2 linked regions of the Saccharomyces cerevisiae S288C genome follow. The gene in region 1 interacts genetically with each later gene. Each region holds a gene or a part of one and is shown on either strand. Other genes may lie near its edges.

Region 1 (3,079 bases):
TTACGCTTGCGGATGATAACAAGACTGTAATCAAAATGAAAACAACGATTGCCTCCACTAAGGTAGCTGCTGAGTCTGTTTGAGTGAACTCCCAAAGTGCTAAAAGAGATATCTCAGAATAAATTATGAACACCGCTCGATATAGTGTCCCCTGTAAAAGTGCACTCCAATGTGTGTGGAAGTGTAAATATCTAATTGTCTTAACTTTAAACTTCTGAAGTACTTTCAAAAATGTTTTGAAGATAATAAACGCCAATATTATCATACAAATGAATATGATAAAGAAGGAAAATCCCGTTAAAAAGAAATTTGATATCTCAATTCCAGCTTTGTAAGACACCCTTTTAATACCTCTTAATACTAAAATTTTTGACAGATAGTCATTTGAATTTCTCAAATTTGAAGTGTATAATAAATCATTTTTTTGGGAACTTTCAATACCATTTAAATTACTTGACGCTGATATGATTTTACTGTTCAAGGATCTTTTTTGAACACTGATCGATAAAACTTCTTTATTGCGGTATACAACGGTGGGGGACCCAGATGTTGCGACAACATACCAGTCAAATAACCGCTGCATAAAATTTATCCTTATTATTCCCATTGACCATTGGAAATTTTGAGTCCAAGCGGCGACAATAGGCGGTAAAAATGATACACTAATCATAGCTAAAATAGCCAAATTTTGGAAATATAAAAGTAGCGATATTGAATAAGACGCCAGTCTTGTTGAAGTAACCGTATAACCTTGCAAAGAATAAACCACTGAAAACATAATTCCGGAAATTGTCAATATCACTAGATTCCACGATAAATACTCTGTTTGGACTGTTCTACCATTTGATAACATCACTTGTACACATGCTAGAGGTTTGGTAAATTCTTTATCAATAGTGGAGTATGCTGTCACCACAATATATGCGTCTAAGTCAGGTATATTATATGTTATGCTTGGTATTTGGCTAGCTACCGCGGCCTCAACATAATAACTTCCCATGAGTTCTATATTTCCCGGCTTCAACGGACATAATAAATTATCTTGGATTCCACATAGATCAAAAACTTTGGTATAAACATTGAGACCATATGCAATCAATTCTGCCTTGATGGTTATGTTTTCGCTCATAATTGTTTGTGCTTCAACATTAAAGAATAGAGTATTATTTCTCGGGAAAAAAGCAGCTTCGAAATACGATGCAGAAAACTGTGAGTCTTTAGCACAAGTCAACAGAGCCGAAGTCCTTAGATATTCTTTAGTATATGCATCAAATGGTACTGGGAATAGAGTCGATGCGTTGTTCAGTAGTGTAAAAGAGTTAGAAACCTGGAAAGTAGAGCTGTTAATGGAAATAGCGTGTATTTGTCGGAAGATTGCTAGCAAAACAAAAATCCGAGATAAAGAGAAGACTTTAATGGGAAGCATACTTATTCTCTTTACATCTATAAATCAGAGAGGTTAAATATTATTTAAAATAGCATTACGACTTTGCTTCATCATCCTTCCAAAATATTGACACTGCATCATTTTTTAAATGTGTCAGTAATTCGGGCACAAAAATATAAATGGACCGCCATGAACTAAAGCTGTCGTCGATATGGATCGCTCCATAGCAGCATTATAAAAATTAAAAATGCATCAATACCATGCTACAGTAATAACAAAATACAGCATGGATTACCACTACATATTCATCATGTCATGCATTATAGTTGTAACATATGCTGAACACCCATTCATCACGTGTAATTGGACATCCGTGGAGTTCCAAAAGGAGTATAAACGCAAATAGTAAAGCTAAGATATAAGTAGTGTCTAAGTAAATGACTTCTTTGTAAGCGTACAGCTAAAGTTTACCGATGAGTTACGATAAGAAGGCAGATGTCACATCCTTAGATGAAGATTTGAGACAACTAAGAGAAAGCAAATTTTCACCGGAAGCAATTCAAAATATCAAAATATGGGTATATAAATCTGTCCTAAAAGAGATAGCTCCTCCTGGAGACTTATTGGAATGCTTGAAAGATGGAACAGTCCTATGTAAGCTGGCAAATATTTTATATGAAGCAGACACAGGAGAAGCTAACCATATTAGTTGGAAGAGCTCTAAAATGCCATTTGTTCAAATGGATCAAATTTCCCAATTTTTATCATTTTCGAGAAAATATGGTGTGCCTGAAGATGAACTGTTTCAGACAATTGATCTTTTTGAGAAAAAGGATCCTGCCATTGTTTTCCAAACGTTGAAGTCACTATCTCGTTACGCCAACAAAAAACATACAGATAGATTTCCAGTTCTAGGACCACAACTGTCAACAAAGAAGCCAAGACCCCCGGTTAAGTCTAAACCAAAACATCTACAAGATGGTACTGGATGGAGCACTTTTGAATACGGTTATATGAAAGGTGCATCTCAGGCTACTGAAGGAGTGGTGTTAGGACAACGGAGAGATATAGTTTAGAGAATTATTATTAACACTTTCTCTGGCAGAAATTGATAAATAAACATTTAAGAACCCTATATACGCAACCAAAGTTCCTTTGATATATTTTAGTTTTCCATCAAAGTTTTCCTACATAAACACTAAGGTGGCTAGAGACGCGTAACAAAAGTTAACGTTACCGGTAAAAATGTGATTATACAAATCAATCTCACAGAACGGTGTGGAAACAAAGTAGTTGAAGGATTTCAACTATGCGAATCAACAGTGAGCTAGCGAACAAGTTTTCTGCCTCAACGGTGCACTTAGAACATATCACAACTGCTTTAAGTTGTTTAACACCTTTTGGTTCTAAAGACGATGTGCTTATATTCATTGATGCTGATGGGCTGTCATTTGTCAGGGAGAATAATCATGTGATAAAAATCCAACTACTGTTATCTCGGGAGCTATTTATGTCTTATTCGTATAGAAATGAAACTGAGGATCACATGAAACTTTGTGTAAAAATAAATCATATCTTAGATAGCGTTAGCGTGATGAACAGGAATTCGGATGACATTGTTGAGTGTACTTTATCTTATGATGGACATGGATCACCATTTGTACTAATATTTGAAGACTCGTTCATTTCTGA
Region 2 (6,058 bases), on another chromosome or scaffold:
CTTGAGTTATTTGTTTGAGGTTATCTGGAATTGTAAAGGGACAATCGACGTCAAGTTTGTCCGTCAGCGGGCCGAAGTCCGCTAGATGAGTAATTTTCATGACGGCTATTTCATCATCATAAATTTGTGCGCTGCTGTCCTTCATTGCGTAATATTGGATTAGCGCCATTTCTATCCTATCCAAACGAATGTTCTTTTCGAAGGGGAAAATCTTAATCTTCACGGGGGTTGTGCTACCAATAGGAACAGCCCTACTCGGGATGGACGTTTCGTATTGCAACTTGTCACGCCAAGTATTACCCACGCTAATTTCTTCTTGCATGGCAAGATTGTCCATCGATAATGTACGAAGGATTCTGAGATACTTGAACTTTTTGATGATAATTTTATTCTTCGTTCTCATACCATTGCCGCTCGTACTTGTGCTACCGATTGGACCGTGAGGAGAAGTATGAACGCTCAGATCAGTATCCCATAACTGACGTCCATCTATAATGGCTTCAAAGGAATACAGTATGCTACCACTTTGTAGTCCCTCGATTGTTTCGCACACTTCTGGGGGGAGCATTGTATTGAAGGGTAGTTCGTAGTTGCCTCTTTTCATTAGGAATAAGTACGAACTTCCAGACCCGTCTCTGTTACTATAACTATGGCTATTGTTATTGAGGGTGTTACTACTACTGCTTCTACTACGGGCGTTTTCTCTTAAACCCTCGAAAGGGGTTCCTGTAACACCATTTTCTGGTAGCTCTAGTATTTTTCTGTGGGAAGAATGGGTCTTTCTTCGAATTATTTTGTTGAAAACAGGGCTCGAAAGTGATCTCTTGCTTAGAAATATTGCGTTGCCGCTGGTGTCCATATCTTGGTTGCTTGTACTGCGACCGCTACTACTGTTATGTTGATTTTCCGCATTTTCCCCACCGACTAAAACATCCCCTTTTGAAGAAACCAATAAGTTGTCCCAATAGCATTCGAAAATCTTACGCTTTTCCTTAACTAGACTTGCCAAACTACTGCTATTCTTCTTATATCGGCCAACTTGCAAAAACTCCAATTTGAATCTTCCTACCAATCTCAGCGAAATTTTCTTCACTACGATCTCATTTTTCACTGAAATCACTAAGTTTCCTGATAAAGGTATAGACGACAGTTCCAACGGTGACCCTTGGATCAAAATTATGTCCTTGTACGGGGAGTTTATTCTAATATCAAAATAACTTATTCTCTCTCTTTCCTTCTGCTCTGAATGCCCACCGCTGCTAGATAGCGAACTAAGTGAAAACATGGTCTTGCTTCACCCTATTCTCGCCGAGAGCTGTACAAGATATTTTTTACTTTTGCCATCTTATACTCATCCTAATCATCTGTTTCATTTTCCTTCTATTTCTTTTTTTTTTTTTTTTTTTTTTTTTTTTTTCAGTTTTCGAAGAAACTGCCTTTTTAGAATTGTAAAAGACGAAGTGAAGTATTCAGGAGTATATTATTACATACATACAAAGCAAGACAAAGAAACATTTTTAGATCTAACATTTTACTTCAATTGTTTTTGTATTCCTTATAATAAGAAAGACCTGCTGTTTAATGTGGGAGTAATCCGTCCCCTACTCGATCTTCAATAAATTGTCATCTTGTATCTAAAGGAGCGCTCCAGTACTCCAATTAAGCACCACCTAGTGCGTCTAGTGTCGATTTTTTTTTCACGCATACGTTTGTATGTTTCTTAAATTTCCCATGATTTTTTGTTGCCAATGTCATATCTACAAACTCTATACGAAAGTAAACGCACTTCATCTTTTTTGCCCTAAAACGGCAATATTTAGACATATCATAAGGGGCCCAAGGGAGAATCGTTAATTTTAAACTTTTCTTTGCTCTTGAATGAAAAAGTAAATAAATAAAACTAAATCAAAAAAAAGAACGCCACGTTTGAATTTTAAAGCAAAAATTTTGTTGATTTAGTAATGATATAAATAAAACCAAGTCGTTGGTAAGAATTTGGTTAGGTTATGAATAGTAATGAACTGGATCTAAGAAATAAATATTTTTATGAGATATTCGGTAAGAAAAGAAAATCAGATACTTCAACCCCTACTCAGTTGTTCTCCGGCTCCAAAGTTCAGACAAACATCAATGAAATTTCTATCACTAACGATGAGGATGAAGATAGTACTGAAGATGAAAATAAGGCTTCATTGAAGGATTATACACTAGGGCACGACACCGGTGCACGGTATAGGATAGCACCGGACTGTTCTTCCCACCAATTAAAGGCATCTCCTGTCCTACATATTTCAACAAACCTTAATTCAAGTCCACAATCCTTCACAGGCGATCAGATTTCACCTACTAATAAAAAAATTTCAATAAATGATTCGACCAGACAAGATAAAGGTAACAGTTGCACTACCACTTCATCACCTTCTCAAAAAAGATCGAATGTTTTGCTTCCTCACGTAAGAAAACATTCATCTCCTTCACTATTATCATTTTCCAAAAACAGTGGCAGTCATATGGGGGATCCAAACCAGCTATCTACGCCTCCAACTCCCAAAAGTGCAGGTCACACGATGGAGTTACACAGTTCATTCAATGGAAAACATAGTTCTTCTAGCACCTCTTCTTTATTTGCATTAGAGTCACTGAAAACCCAAAATAGACGCTCATCAAACTCTTCCAATCATTCTAGTCAATATCGACGCCATACTAATCAACACCAACGTCATCATTCAAGGTCCAAATCAAGTCCTGTCTCTCTGACGGAAATATCCATGATCAAAGGCACGCCTTTGGTTTATCCTGCACTTTTATCACTAATAGCAATTAAATTCAAACAGACCATCAAATTGAGCACGCATAAAAAGATGGGGTTACTTTACAGAGATTCCTTTACAGGAAAACAAGCAATTGATACTTTATGCTTGATCATAGGAAGCTTAGATCGTAATTTGGGCATGTTGATCGGAAAATCGCTGGAAGCTCAAAAATTGTTCCATGACGTACTTTATGACCATGGCGTAAGAGATTCTGTACTGGAGATTTACGAGTTATCTTCAGAATCAATTTTTATGGCACATCAGTCGCAGAGTTCTACTTCAATTGCCAACACATTTTCTTCATCATCTTCTTCAGTTAATTCGCTCCGTACTAAAACTGAAATATATGGTGTTTTTGTCCCATTGACACATTGTTATTCCTCTACATGCTCTCTGGAAAAACTTTGCTACTCTATTTCTTGCCCCAATCGTTTGCAACAACAGGCTAATTTACATTTAAAATTAGGTGGTGGTCTTAAGAGAAATATTTCGTTAGCACTCGATAAGGAGGATGATGAACGAATTTCCTGGACAAATTCTGTACCAAAGAGCGTATGGGAATCATTATCCAAACAACAAATCAAAAGGCAGGAGGCAATATATGAGTTGTTTACTACAGAAAAGAAGTTTGTAAAATCTTTGGAAATCATCCGAGATACTTTCATGAAGAAATTATTAGAAACGAATATTATTCCATCTGATGTAAGGATAAATTTTGTAAAGCACGTTTTCGCACATATCAATGAAATATATTCTGTCAATAGAGAATTTTTGAAGGCTTTAGCACAAAGGCAATCATTAAGCCCAATTTGTCCTGGAATTGCAGATATATTTTTGCAGTATCTTCCTTTCTTTGATCCTTTTCTGTCATACATAGCATCAAGACCATACGCAAAGTATCTAATTGAAACCCAAAGATCAGTTAATCCCAATTTTGCTCGTTTTGACGATGAAGTGTCTAATTCTTCCCTGAGGCATGGGATCGATTCATTCCTATCTCAGGGTGTTTCAAGACCTGGTAGATATTCACTGTTGGTAAGAGAAATAATACACTTCTCGGACCCAGTAACAGACAAAGATGATCTACAAATGCTAATGAAAGTCCAAGATCTTTTAAAGGATCTAATGAAAAGGATTGATAGAGCAAGCGGTGCAGCACAAGATCGTTATGACGTTAAAGTGTTAAAGCAGAAAATTCTATTCAAAAATGAATACGTTAATCTGGGTTTGAATAACGAAAAAAGGAAAATCAAGCATGAAGGTTTACTCTCAAGGAAGGACGTGAACAAAACAGATGCGTCCTTTTCAGGAGACATTCAATTTTACCTACTCGACAATATGCTATTATTCTTGAAATCAAAAGCTGTAAACAAGTGGCACCAACACACTGTATTTCAGAGACCAATTCCACTCCCTTTACTGTTTATTTGTCCGGCTGAGGATATGCCACCCATAAAAAGATATGTGACAGAAAACCCAAATTGCTCAGCGGGTGTGCTCTTACCCCAATATCAAACGAGCAATCCCAAGAATGCTATTGTATTCGCCTATTACGGTACGAAACAACAATATCAAGTTACTTTGTACGCGCCGCAGCCGGCCGGATTACAGACATTAATAGAAAAGGTGAAACAAGAGCAAAAAAGGCTCCTTGATGAAACTAAACATATTACTTTTAAGCAAATGGTAGGTCAATTCTTTCACTCATACATAAATACTAATCGCGTCAACGATGTCCTAATCTGTCATGCTGGTAAAATTTTATTGGTTGCAACAAATATGGGACTCTTTGTTCTTAATTATGCTACATCGATCAATCAAAAACCAGTGCACCTTCTGCACAAAATATCAATTTCACAGATCTCTGTATTGGAAGAATATAAAGTTATGATTCTTCTAATTGACAAAAAACTGTACGGCTGTCCTTTAGACGTAATCGACGATGCAGAAAATGCAGATTTTCTTTTCAGAAAAAATTCTAAAGTGTTATTTAAATATGTTGCAATGTTCAAAGACGGTTTCTGTAATGGTAAAAGAATCATTATGATTGCACATCATTTTTTGCACGCCGTACAATTATTGATTGTTAATCCTTTGATATTTGATTTTAATAGCGGTAATTTTAAAAAAAACCTAAAGGCAGGCTTGGTAGATTTTAGCGTTGATTCTGAACCTCTGTCCTTTTCTTTTTTGGAGAATAAGATCTGCATTGGTTGTAAAAAAAATATCAAAATATTAAACGTACCGGAAGTGTGTGATAAAAATGGATTTAAAATGAGGGAGCTTTTAAATCTACATGATAACAAAGTTTTAGCGAACATGTATAAAGAGACGTTCAAAGTAGTTTCCATGTTTCCGATAAAAAATTCAACTTTTGCATGTTTTCCAGAACTCTGCTTTTTTCTCAATAAGCAAGGGAAGAGGGAGGAGACAAAGGGATGTTTTCATTGGGAGGGGGAACCAGAACAGTTCGCGTGTTCCTACCCTTATATTGTGGCAATTAATAGTAACTTTATTGAAATTAGACATATAGAAAATGGAGAACTTGTCCGCTGTGTACTTGGAAACAAGATACGTATGTTAAAATCATATGCCAAGAAGATCTTATATTGTTATGAGGATCCTCAAGGATTTGAAATTATCGAACTGTTAAATTTTTGAGTTGACCGCCCATATTAATACCTTAAAACTTATTTCTTGAACCTATACATCTAAATTTAAGTAATATTATTTTATTTGTATAACCATATGTAGTTTACCTGAAATATATGGGTGCCATTAAGAAAATATAATACAATGGACAAGAATTTTGTCCTAGAAAATAAAGTCTTGAAAGTATATTGTCCTTTCCTTTGGAATATTATGTCACTAGCAAGCATCGAAAATTGATCCAGAGTGAAAATTAATTTTTTCGAGATTAAACTGTGAATTCAAAAGTTTGATTTTAATTGTTTCCTCACTCAACTTGGTACTGAAGTCTTGATTAGCTGTTAGAGAAGATAATTCTGACCGTATTGAAGATGTCGAATTTACTGAAAGCAACTGAAGTAAAATATCGATTACTTCAATCTTGTTTTTACTGCTTATGTAATTATTCCAAATTGAATCCGAGATAGGAATATGAATATCAAATGTCTCTTCCATGGGATTTAGGCACCATTCCCCCGAGTTAGAGTCGTTTTCCTCAGATAACTCATGTTTTGTAAAGTGAGATCCATCGAAGCTAATATCATTATCATTTAAGT

The links.
Region 2: of SCP1 (region 1) and ROM1, changing one suppresses a phenotype caused by changing the other (phenotypic suppression), as found in Saccharomyces cerevisiae (one study listed by BioGRID).

The regions. Positions count from the first base shown.
Region 1 is NC_001147.6:1,024,147-1,027,225, forward strand, and holds SCP1 (Scp1p), read left to right. Parts: upstream 1-1,860; coding exon 1,861-2,463; downstream 2,464-3,079. Other genes in the region: YOR365C (putative flavin adenine dinucleotide transporter), read right to left, coding at 1-1,426; RAD17 (Rad17p), read left to right, coding at 2,697-3,079. UniProt on the Saccharomyces cerevisiae protein: Has actin-binding and actin-bundling activity. Stabilizes actin filaments against disassembly.
Region 2 is NC_001139.9:625,800-631,857, forward strand, and holds ROM1 (Rho family guanine nucleotide exchange factor ROM1), read left to right. Parts: upstream 1-2,006; coding exon 2,007-5,474; downstream 5,475-6,058. Other genes in the region: ART5 (Art5p), read right to left, coding at 1-1,285; ENV11 (Env11p), read right to left, coding at 5,682-6,058. UniProt on the Saccharomyces cerevisiae protein: Stimulates the exchange of RHO1 GDP-bound form into GTP-bound form.